Linked DNA regions of Sus scrofa. The protein of the gene in region 4 interacts with the protein of the main gene of each other region in a pairwise test. Links are inferred from orthologs where the notes say so. Each region holds a gene or a part of one and is shown on either strand. Other genes may lie near its edges.

Region 1 (3,080 bases), on a different chromosome or scaffold from region 4:
TGCCCAAGAAGAAGAAGAAGAAGGTAGGATTAAAACAAAACAAAAACCACCCTACACCTTCAGGTGCAGCCTGAAAATGTGTCAGGAGGTGGGTAAGATGAATGGAGCCTTACTCAAGGAAGTTGTATTCATTTGTGAGTTCAGAATCTTAAATAATACATTTATCTATTTAGTCCACAAATCTTTAGTAGGTACCTCATTTCTCAACTTGGCTGTTCTCCCAGAGACACACATCTCTGATTAGCTTGGTACTTTTTTTGAAAATAACATTAAAAAATTCTCTTCCTGCTGTCCTTTTATTCCTAATTAAACATTTTAAAATCTATTCATTTAACTCAGCAGTTTGGTGTCCTAAAGAACAAAAATGAATACCAAACACAGAATAAAAGAAAAACCAAGGTCCTGGAGAAGAGCAGAGCTCCCAGTACATAGACTTAATCTCATGCGGTTTAAATAGGTGTTTGGTGTCAAATTATTCTCAGCAAGCATTGTAGGTTGCATGCATTTTGGGACCGAGGAGCGGAGAGGTTTGGGGGAAGGATTCTGACATTTATGTTTCTCCACCAAACCTTAGCTGAAATATTTTGATTGGACTCACCCTGCATTCGGAGTTTGTACATTTTCTTTTTATGTTAAAGCTGCCAAGGAAGAATCTGAGGAAGCAAAGGAGGAAGAAGAAGGAGGTGAAGGTGAAGAAGGAGAAGAAACCAAAGAAGCCGAGGAGGAGGAGAAAAAAGATGAAGGTGCTGGGGAGGAGCAAGCAACTAAGAAGAAAGATTGAGCCCCACTTCCCTTATTTATTCCAGGAATAATTCTCCCGAAATCAGGTCAACCCCATCACCAACCAACCAGTTGAGTTGCAGATACTATATGAATTAAGAAGTCAATATATGTATAATTCTGAGATGACTTAGGTTGGACATTAAATGTTGTGCTATGACTTTTCTCCTTATGCAGAGTATCTGTTTGCTTGCAGAGTGGCTTCCTGGCTTGCTGCCAGCCTGTGCATGGTCCACGCTTATGAGTTCAGGATCTATGGCAATGTGAATAATTCAGATGTTTACAATTTAAAAAAATGAATAAATGAATTCACTAATGTTAATGTTAAACTTCATAGAAAAAATAGTCCTTTGAAACTTTGGTGGTTAGAAATTAAAGACCTCAAATTATGTGCAATAAATAGTAAATAAAGTTACACTGAATGACATTCCTTGCTGTGGCTGTTGACTTAATTCCAATGTCTTAAAGAGGGCACCAATGTAAGACACACAGAAATGGACTCTTCCCCTCCAAATTTTTTAAATCAAAATTTTAGTAATTATAATGCATTTCCCCCCATTAATTGGTTCTTCTGAGGATACAATTAGGTCATGACTATTCATGAAATCTTCCCTCAAAAATTTTACTAATAATAAATTCAAGTAAAAGGGAAACCCACTTTTCTTTTATAAATAGCAATATGCTTTGCCCTGTAATTTTCTATATAATGTTGGGAATGGCTTTCTTGGAGGCAATTCTGAAGTTATGTGATAAATATACCCTTTATGGTAAACAGGTAACTTTAACACTAGTATGTAATAATAAATGCAAGATGGATAGAATATGAATCCAAGCCATCCATCACTATAACTACATTTTAAAAATATACTCAAAATATCAGGAGCAGATGTTGAAACCCAAGCAAGTTACAGAATCAGAAGGAATGATTTTTGGTCAATGTATAATTTTGGATGGAGTAAGAAGAGCAAAGTTGATTTGCCATTGCAAATGTTGCCTGCAATCCTGAGCTCATTTTTGAGTGTGTTGTTAGCTTAATTCTTTCGCCTCAAGTAAATAGCCTTTAATGCCACCTATTTTAAATGTTTTAAGAACTATAAATACAGATAACGAAATTGTCACCCATCACTAAAGGGGGGATTATATACTTGTGTGTTACATTGCCATTGCTCCGCATGTCTTATATTGGAAAATATTTGGATTTCAATGATAACTCTAACTGGTTGGATATTGCATCAAATACATACCCCATCCATCCTTCCTGTTCACTGTTAAGTTATGAAAGCTCTTGCACTTGCCTTTGATGTGGAATATCGATGAAATTACTGATTATTTGCTGTTTTGCTTTTGTTCTTACTCCATTGCTTTGTCAGCTTATTTTCACTCAATGTTTGTTGTTTAGGCAGTTTTTAAAGGTCATGAATTTAATCTGAAAGCCAGGTGGTCTCCATTTAAAGTTATCTGATCCCATCACAGTATGCATTTCTAGTTAAATATATGTCACTAAAGCAAAGAGGTGAAATATTTCTTCATCTACCATGATGCTATGGATTTGAACTCTGAGGATTCTTGGCACACTGGCTTCTGCAAAGACTAGGAGTTGCCTCAGAAACCAAGCTTTTCATAATTATATTCATTAAACATGGGATGCTGCTCGTGGTAAATGTCAGACAGATGCAAATGACATGTAAAAATGTAACTTTAGCCGAATGGAAATGACTGGTTGATTTGAGAATTACTTGAAGTAAGAGCACTGTATCATACTCTATCCTGTGTGCCATAATAAAATACTGAAAAACCAAACGAAATGGATTTGAAGTCTTTAAAAAAAACTTCCTCAAATGTGGACCTCGGCCAGTGTCCCTCTCCCTTCTGCTCCTCCCAAACTGTAGTTCTTTCTCTGTATTCCCTTCCCAAGTTAATGGCACCACTCCCCAGCCATCTAATTCTGAAAACCAGAGACTGGGTGTGACATCATACCTCTCATTTCCTCTCCCTGATTCCTTTGGCCTAATCTATTACCAAGTCAGTTAATTTTACTGCCTGCATATCTTTTTTTTTTTGTCTTTTTTTGTCTTTTTAGACACACACCTGGGACATATGGAGGTTCCCAGGCAGGGGTCGAATCAGAGCTGTTGCTGCCGGCCTACGCCAGAGCCACAGCAACGCCAGATCCGAGTCTGAGACCTACACCACAATTCACGGCAACACCGGATCCTTAACCCACTGAATGAGGCCAGGGATCGAACCTGCAACCTCATGATTCCTAGTTGGATTTGTTTCCACTGTGCCATGGCCGGAAC
Region 2 (3,500 bases), on a different chromosome or scaffold from region 4:
GGGCCTTCCTGTTCTCCTCTTCAAACAGATGCCTGAAGATGGGGCCATCAGTGCTAGCAGCTCCCTTTCTCTACCCCATCCCACCCTCTCCATCTCTGCCTTACACCACAGCTGCTGCCTCCTGGCTGCGGAGGAAGAGCCCCTCAGTGATGGTTGAGCAGCCCTTGGCTCCAAACTGGGAACACAGACGATGCTTCACATCCTCCAGCTTTGCCTCCACCAACTTCTCTGTAGCAGGAAGGAACAGATGGGCAGGGTAGGGCAGGGCAGGGCAGCGCAGAGTTGATCTGGGCATCCCTTCTCCAGGCCTCACCTTCCTTGAGCAACTGTTCCTTGTTGCTGTCCAGGGCATCAATTTCCAGGGCCAGTTGCTCTGGCTTCTGAGGGGTAGAAAGATGGCCTGTCCACATCTCCCATGTGCTGCAGTGAAGCTGACCAAGATCTGGTCTTCCTTACTTCCTACTACTTTGGCCCTCCATGTATGCCAGGCACAGTCCAGCTTCAGGGCCTTTGCACTGGCCATTCCCTCTGCCTAGAGCTTTCACTCCAGATACCTAGGGTGCTGTGCTATGCTGGAGAGGCTCATGAGGTCATGAGTATTCAGGAATTAAACAAGGTTTGAAATCGGCCCTAGAATGAGTATTTACTACAGGAGATCCTGCAAACAGTACAAATCAAGGTTTTTCTTTTGAGAGTAAGTTACCACCCAGTAATGCAGCTCCTCCTCTTACCATCATGTGACCTCACTGAGCTCTTCCATCTGGACAGTCATTTTCTCTGCCTATTTTCTTGTTTGGGATCCCCAGATGCCTGCCCTGTGTCTGTGATGGCCCCAAATACATATATGGATCTCATTTTTGGGTGAGCCCTCCTTGGTTCATCGGGGTTCCTCATGACCACTTAAGGATACTTGGAGAGCATCAGGGATGGGTGGGCAGGTCTGGTGAAGAGGTCAGCAGCAGGTGGCAATGAGGGTGCTGCACAGCTGCCAGGGTTTGTACGGAACTAGGTGTGGAAGTACAGAGGAAGGAGGCCTGGAGAATTCCATTGGTTTGGGGCCTGGTGCTGCCGGGGGAGATGCGGAAGGTTGAAGGAGTGGCTGAGTGACTCACATGGAATTCCCAGAGGTCCTTATGCTGGCCCATCAGATCCTCCAGCTGTTCTTCAAAATCCAACCTGGAGATCAAGCACATAGGATGAGGGGCCGTGGGCTGAGAGACACCCCTCCCCAACCTTGCACAGCTAGGGCCTTCATGCACAGACCAGGGGGAGCTCACCCATGCTCTTCATGCTGCTGGGAACACCTTCTCCACTTTGACCCTCCAAGCTTCAGCTCGGCCAGCTACTCTTCTAACCTCCATTGCTGGTATAACTCCCACTGACAACCCAGCCCAGCCCATCAGGCTTCAGGTGATGGGCTTTACCTCAGCTTCCTCTGTTTGTTCTTTTCTTCCTCGATCTGGGAATTCAGGGCAGAAATTCGCTCCTTGCATTCCTGCAGCATGGTTTGCTTCCTGGCAAGAGTCAGCGCAGCCCTTCATCATGTTCTCTGAATGTCTCCCTACATTCAGGGGTTGGGGTAGGGCTTCTGCATCCTTCTCTTGAGGTCTGTTCTAGCCTTCTAGATTGAGGTCCATCTCTGTAACTTTGTAGGGGGACATGAGCACATGCCCCCAGGAAATGTCATTGTGAAGATTAGAGAGATCAGTGTGGGTCTGGTCAAATGCACAATCACACAGGTTAACCTCATGTGAATTTCTCTAACAGTTTCAATCTTGGTATGCTAGGGGCTTGGGGCTTCTGGTCACAAGATGAGCAAAATAAGCATTGAGGAGGTAGAGATCAATGCACAAATAGTTGGGTGGATGGAAGGATAATGGATGGAGAGATGGCTGGCTTGATGCCTTAAATGAAGGGACAGATAAGCGAACAAACAGCTGCTGTGGAAAGTATCAAAGGTACAGAATAAAAACCAGCTGAAGGAATTTAACATTCTAGCAAATGAGTGCTTATTCCAGGTGGGTGAGTGAGAGGGTATTCTTAACACTACTGCCCGCTGTTGCAGCCAAGATGGAAAGACCCTTATTTGGCCTCTCCATTTTACAGAGGGAGAAGATGAGAGCTGTGGGTCTAAAACTGATTTCACTTACTTTCTCTACCAGAATGAAGGGGTAGCTTGGAGCAGGGCCCAGGTAGAGGCTCTTACCTCTGTGCCTCACTTTCCTTCTCCTGGCAGTGGAGCCGGAGGATCCTCAGGGTCTCTGCAGAGAGAGGAAGTGAGGGGGCCATGAGAGCTCATCAAGGCATGAGGTTTGGGCAGAGGTAAAAGGGCCAGGTCATGTGGACACCGTATGGGACTGTCATTTACTGTGGTGGAATCCACAGGAGGGGTGCAAGGTGATTCAGGTTTCAAAAGGCTTCTATCACTATAGAGAGTAGGCTTATACAGGTTGGAAAAGGCAAAAACATGAAGACAGAACAGCTATAATTACCTTGCTTTTTGCTCAAGATCTCTTTCAGGCGTACTTTCTCTCCACTCACTGGAAAAAGTAACATGTTCAGGCATCAGGGACCATTCACTGCACCCCTGGGGACCAGGCCTGCGCACGGTCACATGGGCAGTTTCATACAGGCTTACCCCTGACCCCAAATGTGGACCCCCAAGGTGACCCTCTCCTCTCTTGTGCTGACACTCGCTATAAGCACTAGAGTCCTGAAGGTGATAAAGGGTGTCTGTGATGACTTTGTGGGATGCCAGTGTGTTTACATGAAAGGGAGAGAAAAAATAAGAAACACATCACATGAAGTGGGACAAGGACTGTGAAGAAATAACATCAAGCAGTAAGTGGCACGTGCCCAGGCAGGGACAGGGTGCTGTTTTTAGGTAACTGGGGAAGGCCTCTCTGAGCATACTTGAGCTGAGAGCTGAGGATGATGTGAGGCAACAGGAAGTGGTGGTATCTGGGGGGACTGTCTAGCCAAGGCCCTGAGGTAGAGGCATGCTTACAGAGTTTTTCAGGAACCTTCCCACCAACACAGTGGGAGGAGCAGGGATTAGAAGGATCTGAGGTTGAAGGGCAGGAGCCCTTGGTCACAGCCAAGAACGCAGACATCTGGAATACTGTGTTCAAAGCTGCATGACATTGTGTGGACCTCTGGGTGACCGGTGACAAGCTTACATGAGTCAAGTTCCTTTTGCAGGGTCTCCCAGACAGTCCGGGCCTCTCCCAGCTCTTCACTGGCTTTCTTTTTTGCTGTGCCAAAGAGTAAAACATTATTTAAGTGTCTTTTCCTTGCAAATATTTCACATTTGTCTTCAAGTAAACCTAAAGGGGCTCAGGCTTTACAGAGCAGGAAATGGGGCTTCCAGGAGCCTAAGCCCTTCCTGTTAGGTTCAGGTGGCAGCAGGGCCAGGTTAATAAACATGACTATAGCAGTTAGTATTTAGATGGACCAACCCATGCCTCATTTAATGCTCTGCTCTTTCAAAACACTTTGTA
Region 3 (3,500 bases), on a different chromosome or scaffold from region 4:
TAATTTGGGCCCACAAGCCAGGAGTGTTGAAGAGCCAGCAACAGGAATGCATGTCTGAAGGGAGGACCCAGCACTGTTCCACTTCTTAGAATCATCTCCCTGATACAATCTCTGCTTAGCACAGCTTTTTAAATGTCTGTTTCATAACAGCAAGCAGCTGCGAGGAGGCTCTGGCAGCCGGGCTCACCCTCACCTCCATCTCCTTCACCTTCAGCTCCTCCATCTGCTGGCGCAGCGCCTCCGCCTGCAGTTTACCCTCCAGCTGCCTCCTTTCCTCTTCAGCCTTCATCCGTGCTAGCGCTTCCCGTCGGGCCCTTTCGTATTCATTTTCATATCGTTTTTCCTTTTCCTCTTCAGCGGCTTCTTGCTGCACAGAGCCAAAGGAACCCGGGGTCAGGGTCTACAGCACAGAGTCAGCAAAGACCCAGCTCCCCACCCACCAATCAGCAGGCCTCAGGGCCTGCTCCTCATTCTGCACATCTACACCCAAGGAGGCTATACCCTTAGCTGTGTGGCCCAGGCAAGGGTGTCTTCCTGAGCTCGGTTCTCACTGTGGGAACCGTGGGAGTGGTGCCGTCCTCAGGGATGAAGCTGGGAGGCTTTTGGCTTGGTGCCTGGCACAAGGATGCCAGGGTTCCTCCCTTTCCACACGTCAACAAAACACCTTCCAGAACGAACCCCAAGATAAAGCGGTGGGTCCATGGAAGAGTGGACTTTCATCCCCAGGGGTGCTGCTGTAAACCACGTCTGAGAATTTAGGATGTAAACTACATGAAAATAGGGCACCAGCAACAAAAACAACCCTCAAGGATGCATGTTGCATCTACCATCAGCCAGTCCTGGTCACTTGGTCTTACTCTGCCTCTGGGAGTGACCACAGACGAGTCTAGTTTGTGTAAGAGCAACAAATATTCAGTTTTAACATGTGTTAAGTAAACAAGGAAAAGTCTATTCCTGGATTGGAATCATTAACATTGAAAACAAGAAACAAATTCAAAGACATGGAGACAGTCTCCCACCACATACCATACCTGTTTTTTTTCCTCTTTCTGCATTTCCCAAGAGTTTATCACATGCTTCTTGTGAAGGTCCAGTTCAATCTGAGGATGAGAATGTGGAGAATATGAACGTCCCCACTGGTTCATCAGACAGAGAGATATTCAAGCATAGCACAGCTCTGGTTATGGCCAGGTGTCTTTATAAGGAATTGCACGGTGACCCTGACATACAGTTGAATGCAAGTGAATCAGAAAGCCAAAGGGCCAGGCACTTGTAAATCATCTCAAGAACTGGAACAAAGTAGCAGAAACTTTTTTCCCAGTACCCTTGGGGCTGAGCAGGACCGGGTCAGTAGGCAATGAAATGGAAATTCAATCTCAAAGGCCACCCCAGTTGGTCTAAAGCTTGCCAGGCCCCAGGGCAGCAGGAGCTGGGTGAGGAGCAGGCTCAACCCTTGGCCTGGCTCCCCAGCACTCCCTCTGCAAAGCAGCAGCTGTAAAAACATGCACGCTCTGAAGCAAGAGATGCAACAAATTCAGGGTTATTAATAAGAGATTTGGGTTTAAAGAATCTTTTGAATCAGGAAACAACACTGTCTGAAAGCTCTTGTTTTGAGAAATTGTTTATAAAAGTTTTAAATTTATTTCTTATAGATGGAAACATTTGCAACTAACTTGAATGTTTTGAATAAACTTTGAGTACATGACTTTGGAGGTTCTGCTTTAATCTATAAGCCACGGGGAGAGGAGTCCTCTGTGGCGTAGTGCTAACCATACAATACTCCAGAACATTCTATTACCTGTGACTGGCAATTTTTAAATGTAGTTATGCTTTATAAGTTAATACCACCAAACATACACACAAACTAAGCTGAAATAAACTAATCTTCATCATGGGATTGTTTCTCTCTAGCCCAGTCTCTGCTGAGTGCTGTCACCCAAACCTAAACGCCTCCCTCTCCTTGCACTGAGGTCTGTGCCTCTGTCCCCCTTTCTCCTGCCACCTCAGTTCTGGCCTTCACATCACTCACCTGGGCTGTGGCAGCAATCCTTCAATTGATATCACCCCTTCTGGCCCACCTCAACAGTGCTGCCAAAGCTGCTGTTCTCCAAAATGCAGCTGGACCCATTTAAAATCATGCAGACCCTCCCCAACGCTCCCAGAGGAAGGACACACAAGGCCATCTGTGGTGGCCCTGTCTGCCTACCCAGCATGAGACTCAGTTCTTGGGGTTCACCCTCCCTGTCTGACGTCCCAGCCTCTCAGCCACTTGTAGCTCAAGGTGGCTGGAGGGTTTTGTCTCACTCCAGCACAAAACGCAAGTTTAAAAACAAGGTGGGGAGCTCCTGTCGTGGTGCAGTGGAAACGAACCGGACTAGGAACCATGAGGTTTTGGGTTTGATCCCTGGCCTTGCTCAGTGGGTTAAGGATCTGGCATTGCCATGAGCTGTGGTGTAGGTCGCAAACGAAGCTGGGATCCTGCATTGCTGTGACACAGGCCAGCAGCTACAGCTCCGACTGGCCCCTAGCCAGGGAACCTCCATATGCTACAAGTGCGGCCCTAAAAAGACAAAAGACAAAAAACAAAAACAAACAAACAAAAAAAAAAACAAGACAGGAAACATGATTTCATTGACTTAGGCAAATCAATGGAAGGGGCTCCTCAGTTTTCACCTCTCGAAGTTGGGGGTTGTTCTTTTTCCAGTGTTCATACAGAAGTTGTTCAGCAATCTGTCAAGGAAATACAAAGCGGGAGGCCTGATGTCATTTTTCCAATCCATTCACATTTCGGATAACCCATGTGGAAGTCAACTCAGGTAAGAGTGCCCTACTGGCGCCAGCACTGCACCGCCCTGCAGACCTCCCACGTGCCTTGTGCCCACAGTGCTGGAAACCAGACACTGCCTGGAACTGCAGGGCCCTGACAAGTGACTCTTACAGGGTGGCCAAAGGGGGCCCAAATCTGATGCTGCAGATGGGTCCTAGATGCTAAAGATCTGTTTCAAACTAAACAGAGATTGGGCTTACCACAACACACGACTACTGTGGAGGATAAAATACACCAGTCCAAGCCCTTTGTGGGACCACAAAACTGGCATAAAGAAAAAGGACTCAGACCTAACAGTTTAAGGGGCCAAAGAGAATAGAGATGTCTCGTAGGAAACACACATGAAGAAGAACTCAGAGCAAGCACTTCTCTTGGCTGGCTCTGGAACGAGCTCTTATCAGGTGACCCCACATGGTCTCACTGTGACTCCTGCTCTGAAGCCTCCTAAAGAGTTTCTCAAAGTTACCAGTTTCCTTTGCTCTTCTCGGGCCGACTTCAGATTCCCATGCCGCTCCCGGATTCTCCTTTCCCTCAAGTTCATGCTCAGCCTCAGTTCCTCTAGTTCTCTGACTAGCAGGTCCTGCTCCTCCAGCAGAAGCTGTCTGAGTCTCTGCCGTCTGGCTTCCAGACGCTTTCTCCCCTCCTCCTTCATCTTCTCCCGCTGGTAGGCATG
Region 4 (3,500 bases):
ATACAAGATCCAAATTACCAAACAGATCCACCTGCAAAAGGGGTTGTCAATGAAGGGACATAAAGTGGGACTCTTTGAGTTCAATCTTCTTCTATTTGGCTTTTCGTAGAGATAACAGTAATGAACAGCACTCAACAACGGTAACATATTTATGATCATGATCATCTTTGTCTATAGCCACTTGCTGATTATTGCTTAGTCCAAAACATGAATAATCCCACTTCAGTTTTCTAACTAAAAAAATAACTTCAGAGTTCCCAATGTGGTGCAGCAGAAACGAATCCGACTAATAACCATGAGGTTGCCGGTTTGATCACTGGCTTCGCTCAGCGGGTTAAGGATCTGGCCTTGCTGTGAGCTGTGGCATAGGTCGCAGAGGCGACTCGGATCCCATGTTGCTGAGGCTGTGGTGTAGGCCGGCAGCTGTAGCTCTGATTGGACCCCTAGCCTGGAAACCTCCATATGCCATGGGTGTGGCCCTAAAAAAAAAAAAAGAAAAAGAAAAATAATAATTTCTATTAAAAATAAAGGTACAAAAGTATCTTCTTATATTGGAATTACAATATCAAAATAAAAAGGATGTATTTTTAAAAGTAACTACAAAAAAGGCAATCCTTTTCCTCTCCCTAGCCCACCTTCATCCTGTTACCCGCTTTTAAGTGAAGAAAGGTTCATTTACCATTTCAACAGATCCATCCCCTGGGTAAAATAAAAGCTCATAACGTCGAAATAGTGAAGCATTTGGATCATACCACTCTGCAATGAAAACGAATCTTTCACTGTGATTCTGCAAAGAGAAGAATTTTAACATGAACATATAAAATATAAGGACTCAAAGTCATACAAATTTAAAGAATCAGTAAATATTTGCAACAAATCTGTTACTACTTATTATATTGAATAATTCTTGTCATACTGAATAGAATTTCAACAATATTACCAGCTATCAAAACACTCAGAAATATTCCTTCTAATTTCTTTTTAAATATCCTTAGATATCTCAAAGATGACATATGAGCTGCTTAATACTTCATGGCCATCCAACCATCCTGAGTAAAATGACAGTTTTTTAGAACATCAACTCCTGATCTGACTACTGTGATAGTTCAGTCCTTCTGAAAGCAAGTTTACACATAGGCAGATGATCAATAAACTAGCATGGGAAAAAAAAATTTCTGAGAGGCTACCCCTAAATTACATGAAGTGTTAACTGACCTAACTTTAAGAATCCAGTCGTATTAGAATATTGTTGTCATTCAATTATAGTAAGTATCTTTTCTCTCCTTAGTAATTTCACATGATAGTATCTTTTACAGAAATAGAGGGAGAATGTGCTAGTCTAGATCCTCCAAGAAGCAGACAAGATGCCAAGATGGGATTAAACATGCAAGAATTTTATTCCTGTAAAAGAAATTCTGTATGGAAAGTTGCTGCAAGGGAAAATAGGGAGGGATCCAGGGGAAGCTGGCAGACCACCATACGAATCTGACCTTGAGGGAAGGAGAGAGAGAAGGAAGGCTGGGTGAAATCCTCCTGGATTGCTAGACAGTCCAAGGAAGGTTCAGTAAGACCATCGGGGAGTGCTCAAGCCAAGAGCCCTCAGATAGTTCCTTGACTCCACAGAGGAGAAGCCTGCTTTAGTAACTCTGCTCCTCTCAGTCACCGAGTGAGCCCTGGGGGAGCATGTGCTAGGTAGAAAAGCAGCAGTAGATTTCAGAGCACAGTAGCTGAGGACCTTTGGTCATTTTGCTACCTCTAGCTGAAGATATGTGAGGTACATACAATGAAAACATAAGTCAAAGATTGGCCCTCTTCCCTCGTCTAGTGAAGGATTTCCCATCCTATGTTATTAATAATATCTTAGCCCTCAAAGATCCCTCATCAAGATAAGCAAATGAAGACACAGGAAGAAAATCTAAGTGTTTTGTTGCTAATTCTGGATTTAGAATTCGATTCTCTGGTTAGGGTATATGAATGGATTCCTTTCATGTTAATAATACACTTACAAATTCTAATAGTAGTATATCTAGTTATATTTATGATATATACTCATCAGCTACAATGTAGGTAGTTTTTAAGACACTCTTTTATTTTTTTCTCATAATCATCCAAAAAGAAACATTTTTTCACTTTTTTTTATATATAATGTTTTTTGGGTTTTTTTAATTATAACTGGTTTGGGAATTTCCAAAATGACACATTTAAACAATGCTTATTAGTCAAGAGAAAATAAAAATGAGATATACTATGACAAGCCTTTCTTCATTTACTATTTTCATTGATCCTTATAAATACAGTTTTTTTATTTTTATTCTTTCAATACAGGTTTTCAAAATGTAGGTTTCACTGTGCATTTTAGTATTGTACTCCCCTTTTAATAAATTTAAATATTAGTAGTTCATTAAAATTTTACTATCTATATTAAAATTTTTTTAATGTTTCTCACATTATTCTCCATCATGTCCCATCACAAGTGACTAGATATAGTTCCCTGTGCAGGAACCCATCACTTATCCATTCTAAATATAATAGTTTGCATCTACTAACCCCAAACTCCCAGTCCATCCCACTCCCTCCCCCTTCCCCTTGGCAATCACAAGTCTGTATTCTATGTCCATGAGTTTGTTTCTCTTCTATGGAAAGATTCATTTGTGCCATATATTAGATTCCAGATATAAGTGATATGTGGTATTTGTCTTTCTGACTTACTTAGTATGAGAGTCTCTAGTTCTATCCATGTTGCTGCAGATGGCACTATTTTGCTCTTTTTTATGGAATTTGCTCAAAAATATCATTGAAATATTGCCTTCACTAAAATAAATAATATATGAGATGGATGAAATGGTGAGACATCTAAGCGAAGGTAAAAGGAGCTCCCATGGTGGCACAGTGGAAACAAATCCGACCAGGAACCATGAGGTTGCAGGTTCGATCCTTGGCCTTGCTCAGTGGGTTAAGGATCTGGCATTGCTGTGGCTCTGGTGTAGGCCAGTGACAACAGCTCCAATTAAATCCCTAGCCTGGGAACTTCCATATGCCGCGGGTGAGGTCTTAAAAAAGACAAAAGACAAAAATAATAATAATAAAAGGGCAAAGAGAGTGAAGCAAATGAAAAACCAATGAAATCTGGCACTTCCAGTTTTCCAGGCAGCTTAACCATAAAATCTGCCAATCACCCTTTAATTCTGAGGCAGACAGAAGAATTTCTCATGATTGGTTATCCAGAAAATAATATAAAGATGATAAACTGAGGAATTACTATTCTAGTTGACAATGTAGCTTATAGCAAATCAATGCTACTATCCAAGAACAACTAGAGAAGTGAGATATTTTTAAAAATCTGTTTGATGACCTTGGAGAGCATTTGAAGCAGCCAGATTTGATGATCTAGATTAAGAAAGACTAGATCTCACTGAGGTTAGCATGGCATTCGTCACGTTGCTTTTACATGAGACTCAAGCTGAATGAGAGACTGAGAAGCTCAAGAAGCTGGTAGAGGA
Region 5 (3,500 bases), on a different chromosome or scaffold from region 4:
TCTCCACACCTCATTTTCCTCATTTGTAAAAGGACCAGCTGGACTGGATGATTGCCACCATCCCTTTTAGCCTTAACCCATTGGGGTTCCAAGTCAGTGGTCATTATCTTTAAGACACTAGTTACTCTCACTCTCAACACATAGATTCAGAGAAATTTCCCACTGTGCCAAGTTCAGTGATAATCAACAAAGGAGTTCTCAAATTGGAGCCTACAGGTGACTTAATAGATTCCTCTATTATCGAGAAGCTTACTTCAGGAAAGAACAGCAGTACTCTGGACTGAGATAATTCCAGGACAATTTCAGCCTTGGCAATACAAAGTTTCTGAGTTTTCAGTTCAATCAACACCTATTTGTTGCTGTTGTGGAGCCCTGAGAGCACTTCCTGGAAGTTTTCAGCCTCCAGCTGATGAAGAAAAGCTTTTTAGGATGTGTTCACCACCCCTTCACCTGCAGACACACATGGCCATGAAAACATCCATGGTAGTTCTACAAAAGCGATGAAGGTCAGTATGGGTTGATGGAAGTTGCTCACCTAGAATGAGATGGATCCTTTGCATGTGTAGAGCAGATTGGCTGGCTTACATACAGTGGGCTCAAGCCCAGGGTGGGAGAGCCAGACTGGGGCCTTGACCAGCAGAGTTTGTGTAGCTTTGACTAACAGCTTAGCTTGGCTGGAGCTTCATTTCCTAGAATTCCCTTGTCCATTTACTTGCAGGTTAGGGTTGGCCACAGGAAAAATTTGCATGAGATTTGGAAGATGGAAGTGACATAGTAGTCTTTAAAAAAAAAAAAAAAATTCTCTGAAGGTCTGTGTAGGGCAGGCCCTATTACAGTTTATGCACGTTGTCACCTAGTTAGCACATAGTTTCTCCGGCTCCCCGGCTCCCCCGATCTTCTCCACCTTCCCCAAATTCTAGGCCAGGTGCATGTGCAATTTCATGTGGAAGGGTTCCAGCTGACCCTGCAGCTCATCTTCACCATCAGGATTGGAGGTTGTGAAAGACAGATGCAGCTCTGGTTTGTCCTCAGCTTCTTGCCACTTTCCACCCATCTTCCTTTTCAGCTGTAAGAACCGTTGACTTCAGGCCCAGCATCATACATAGAGTCAGCAACCTCACATAAACTGTCCAACTAGCTCTCTCCTTGCCTCTAATAAATCCCTTAGGCCATTTGTGGTAGTTCTGGTTCTCAGACGCTGCCCTAATGGATTCAGTCTTTTAGGTGTTGCCTGAATCAGAGAAAGTTAAGGCAGGTAGCAGCAGAGAAACCATATCTCATACTAATTCCCAAAGCACAGTGACAGATATCTTGAGTAGTGGATCTTTGGCCAAGGTGAATGGACAGTGTCACGGTATTTTCTAATAACAAGGGTGTCGTCAAATGCAGGCAGAAATAAAGCAATCTGTCCTCACTACACTATAGCTTTCCTCTCAGGCTCCTGGTCATCTCTTTGCTTTTACCACCTCCAAAGAAGACAGTTTGTGGTAGTCACTTATCAATGATGATCAGGTCACAGAGTATAACTGGATAGCCCTAGGGAGTGGTTTTCAAGTATTTGGACAAATCTCATAGTACTTGTGATAAAACTGTCGTCACTGGGTTTGAGTTTTTGGTACCTGTGGCTGGATCATGCAGGCCACTTTGTCTCAATAGTTGAACACTGGTTCTGTTGCTTTTGTTGTATAAGAGACCTCTATACCTACTCATATCAAACCTTGGTTTCTGTGTATTCATTCTGAGCCTTTCAAACACAGTTAGTTCATTAGTTTACTCCATCTGTTTATTCCACAAATGGATCTGCCCTGGGTGCTGGTGTATAACTGTGAGCAAACCTAAACAGCCCATCTCGTGGACACATACATTTTATTTGAAGAGGTAGACGCTAAACCACTGATTGCCATTATTTAATTGTAACTGTGGTAAGTCCAACAAGGGAGAAGTATTAGGCGGTAAGAGAGTATCTAAGCAGCAGATCTAACCGAGGGGCCAGGGAATAGGAGAAATCAACTCCTGGCAAGGGCCTGGTAGAGCAGTGGACAGACCCTGGCTAACAGTTCACCAGTACATGTCCTGACATCCAGAGGTGGAGGTGGGACAGGGGTGTGCTGATCATGGTTGATATCTAGCATTTGCCAGGAAGACCAGATGAGTCTGAATAGCCCTTGCCCTGCCCACTACATACCCCTTAACCTCCAGGCATCAGGTCAGCAGTCCACAACCTTCAGATGGTAGCTCCTGACCAGTGACTTCTGAGAGGAACAGGTGCCCACAGCCTAATTTCCTGGCACATGGCAAGTGAGGAACATTTCAGGACATCTCTGTTTCTACAAGGAAGTTGTCACCCCTTCAGCTTGAGAAGCAGTAGCTTCTTAGATCAGAAGAGAAGAGAGGAAACCTTGATGGCAAAAGAAACTGCATTTGAAATTTAGTAAGAAATTTCTTGGAAGTTCCTGTTGTGGTTCAGCAAGTTACCAACCCAACTAGTATCCATGAGGATGCAAGTTTGATACCTGACCTTGCTCAGTGGGTTAAAGATCTAGCATGGCCATGAGCTGTGGTGTAGGTTACAGATCCTGCATGGCTATGGCGTAGGCCAGCAGCTGCAGCTCTGATTTGACCCCTAGTCTGGGAACTTCCTTATGCTGCAGGTGTAGCCCTAAAAAGCAAAAAAAAAAAAAAAAAAAAAAAAAAAATTCTCAAACATGATTCTTTGTAGAAAAAGTGTATGGTCACTTAGCATTTCAACTTATTCTCTGGATTCTCCTATCTGCCCTAGTTCCTTCCGTCATCCCTCCCTAGGTCTGACCAGAGTTACTCTTGCAAGTGTTGACAGCAGCTGGCACACCTCTCAGCTGTCCATCAGGGATGGGGGTGATTAATTTCCCTCCTTGATGCAGTCTCCTCAGAGCTAATCTGCAACCACATGGACTCCGGGACACAAGCAAGGGGTTAACTGGCTCCTTCCAGCTGCCTGGGGGTGGGACGGGAGTCTGGGGGCGGCAGGCATTGGGAGGTATGCACAGTGTCCCTGAGCTTTGTGCTTCTCTGAGAAGAGCATGCAATTAAGCAGGTAGGTGCATTTGGCTTTTAACACTTCCGCAAGTTAATTGCTCTGACTTTTTCTGCCATTCTTCTGGCCTTGTGCTCCTAATATGTAATCTAATAGCCTCTTCTTCTTCTTCTTCTTCTTCTTTTTTTTTTTTTAACGGCTGGCTCCTCAAAGACCACTTTTTGCATGTTGATTAGACTTAGAACATTTTGGGTTTTTTGCTCATCTGAATGGAGGAATATGAAAGACAAATATTTTCTCTCTCTGCTTTTAATTTTTTTGTTTAACTGTTCATCCCCTAGGCCTCCCAGTAGCACTGGATGCAGGAGACAATACATTGGCAGTGAAAAACAAGCTGAACCAGTTGTAGTTTTAGATCCTGTTTCCACATATGAACCCCAAACCAAAGACCAGGTTGCTGAAAAAGATCCAACTCAACACAAGGATG

The links. The genes of interacting proteins can lie anywhere in the genome.
Region 1: the proteins of NME7 (region 4) and NEFL interact in binary tests that used the Homo sapiens proteins (3 or more experiments, as listed by UniProt). The two-hybrid records come from large-scale screens. The link is inferred for Sus scrofa from reciprocal best matches to the Homo sapiens genes NME7 and NEFL.
Region 2: the proteins of NME7 (region 4) and SYCE1 interact in binary tests that used the Homo sapiens proteins (3 or more experiments, as listed by UniProt). The two-hybrid records come from large-scale screens. The link is inferred for Sus scrofa from reciprocal best matches to the Homo sapiens genes NME7 and SYCE1.
Region 3: the proteins of NME7 (region 4) and TCHP interact in binary tests that used the Homo sapiens proteins (3 or more experiments, as listed by UniProt). The two-hybrid records come from large-scale screens. The link is inferred for Sus scrofa from reciprocal best matches to the Homo sapiens genes NME7 and TCHP.
Region 5: the proteins of NME7 (region 4) and SHTN1 interact in binary tests that used the Homo sapiens proteins (3 or more experiments, as listed by UniProt). The two-hybrid records come from large-scale screens. The link is inferred for Sus scrofa from reciprocal best matches to the Homo sapiens genes NME7 and SHTN1.

Annotation. Positions count from the first base shown.
Region 1 is NC_010456.5:8,990,821-8,993,900, reverse strand, and holds the end of NEFL (neurofilament light polypeptide), read left to right. Parts: coding exon 1-23; intron 24-638; coding exon 639-781; 3' UTR 782-2,580; downstream 2,581-3,080. UniProt on the Homo sapiens protein: Neurofilaments usually contain three intermediate filament proteins: NEFL, NEFM, and NEFH which are involved in the maintenance of neuronal caliber.
Region 2 is NC_010456.5:141,727,831-141,731,330, forward strand, and holds part of SYCE1 (synaptonemal complex central element protein 1), read right to left. Parts: intron 3,255-3,500; coding exon 3,180-3,254; intron 2,541-3,179; coding exon 2,493-2,540; intron 2,262-2,492; coding exon 2,207-2,261; intron 1,515-2,206; coding exon 1,425-1,514; intron 1,177-1,424; coding exon 1,113-1,176; intron 381-1,112; coding exon 314-380; intron 229-313; coding exon 105-228; intron 33-104; coding exon 1-32. UniProt on the Homo sapiens protein: Major component of the transverse central element of synaptonemal complexes (SCS), formed between homologous chromosomes during meiotic prophase. Requires SYCP1 in order to be incorporated into the central element.
Region 3 is NC_010456.5:41,071,145-41,074,644, forward strand, and holds part of TCHP (trichoplein keratin filament-binding protein), read right to left. Parts: coding exon 3,294-3,500; intron 2,731-3,293; coding exon 2,674-2,730; intron 1,101-2,673; coding exon 1,032-1,100; intron 368-1,031; coding exon 194-367; intron 1-193. UniProt on the Homo sapiens protein: Tumor suppressor which has the ability to inhibit cell growth and be pro-apoptotic during cell stress. Inhibits cell growth in bladder and prostate cancer cells by a down-regulation of HSPB1 by inhibiting its phosphorylation.
Region 4 is NC_010446.5:81,691,907-81,695,406, reverse strand, and holds part of NME7 (nucleoside diphosphate kinase 7), read right to left. Parts: intron 788-3,500; coding exon 680-787; intron 1-679. UniProt on the Homo sapiens protein: Possesses an intrinsic kinase activity. Displays 3'-5' exonuclease activity with a preference for single-stranded DNA. Does not seem to have nucleoside diphosphate kinase activity.
Region 5 is NC_010456.5:127,067,123-127,070,622, reverse strand, and holds part of SHTN1 (shootin-1), read left to right. Parts: intron 1-3,354; coding exon 3,355-3,500. UniProt on the Homo sapiens protein: Involved in the generation of internal asymmetric signals required for neuronal polarization and neurite outgrowth.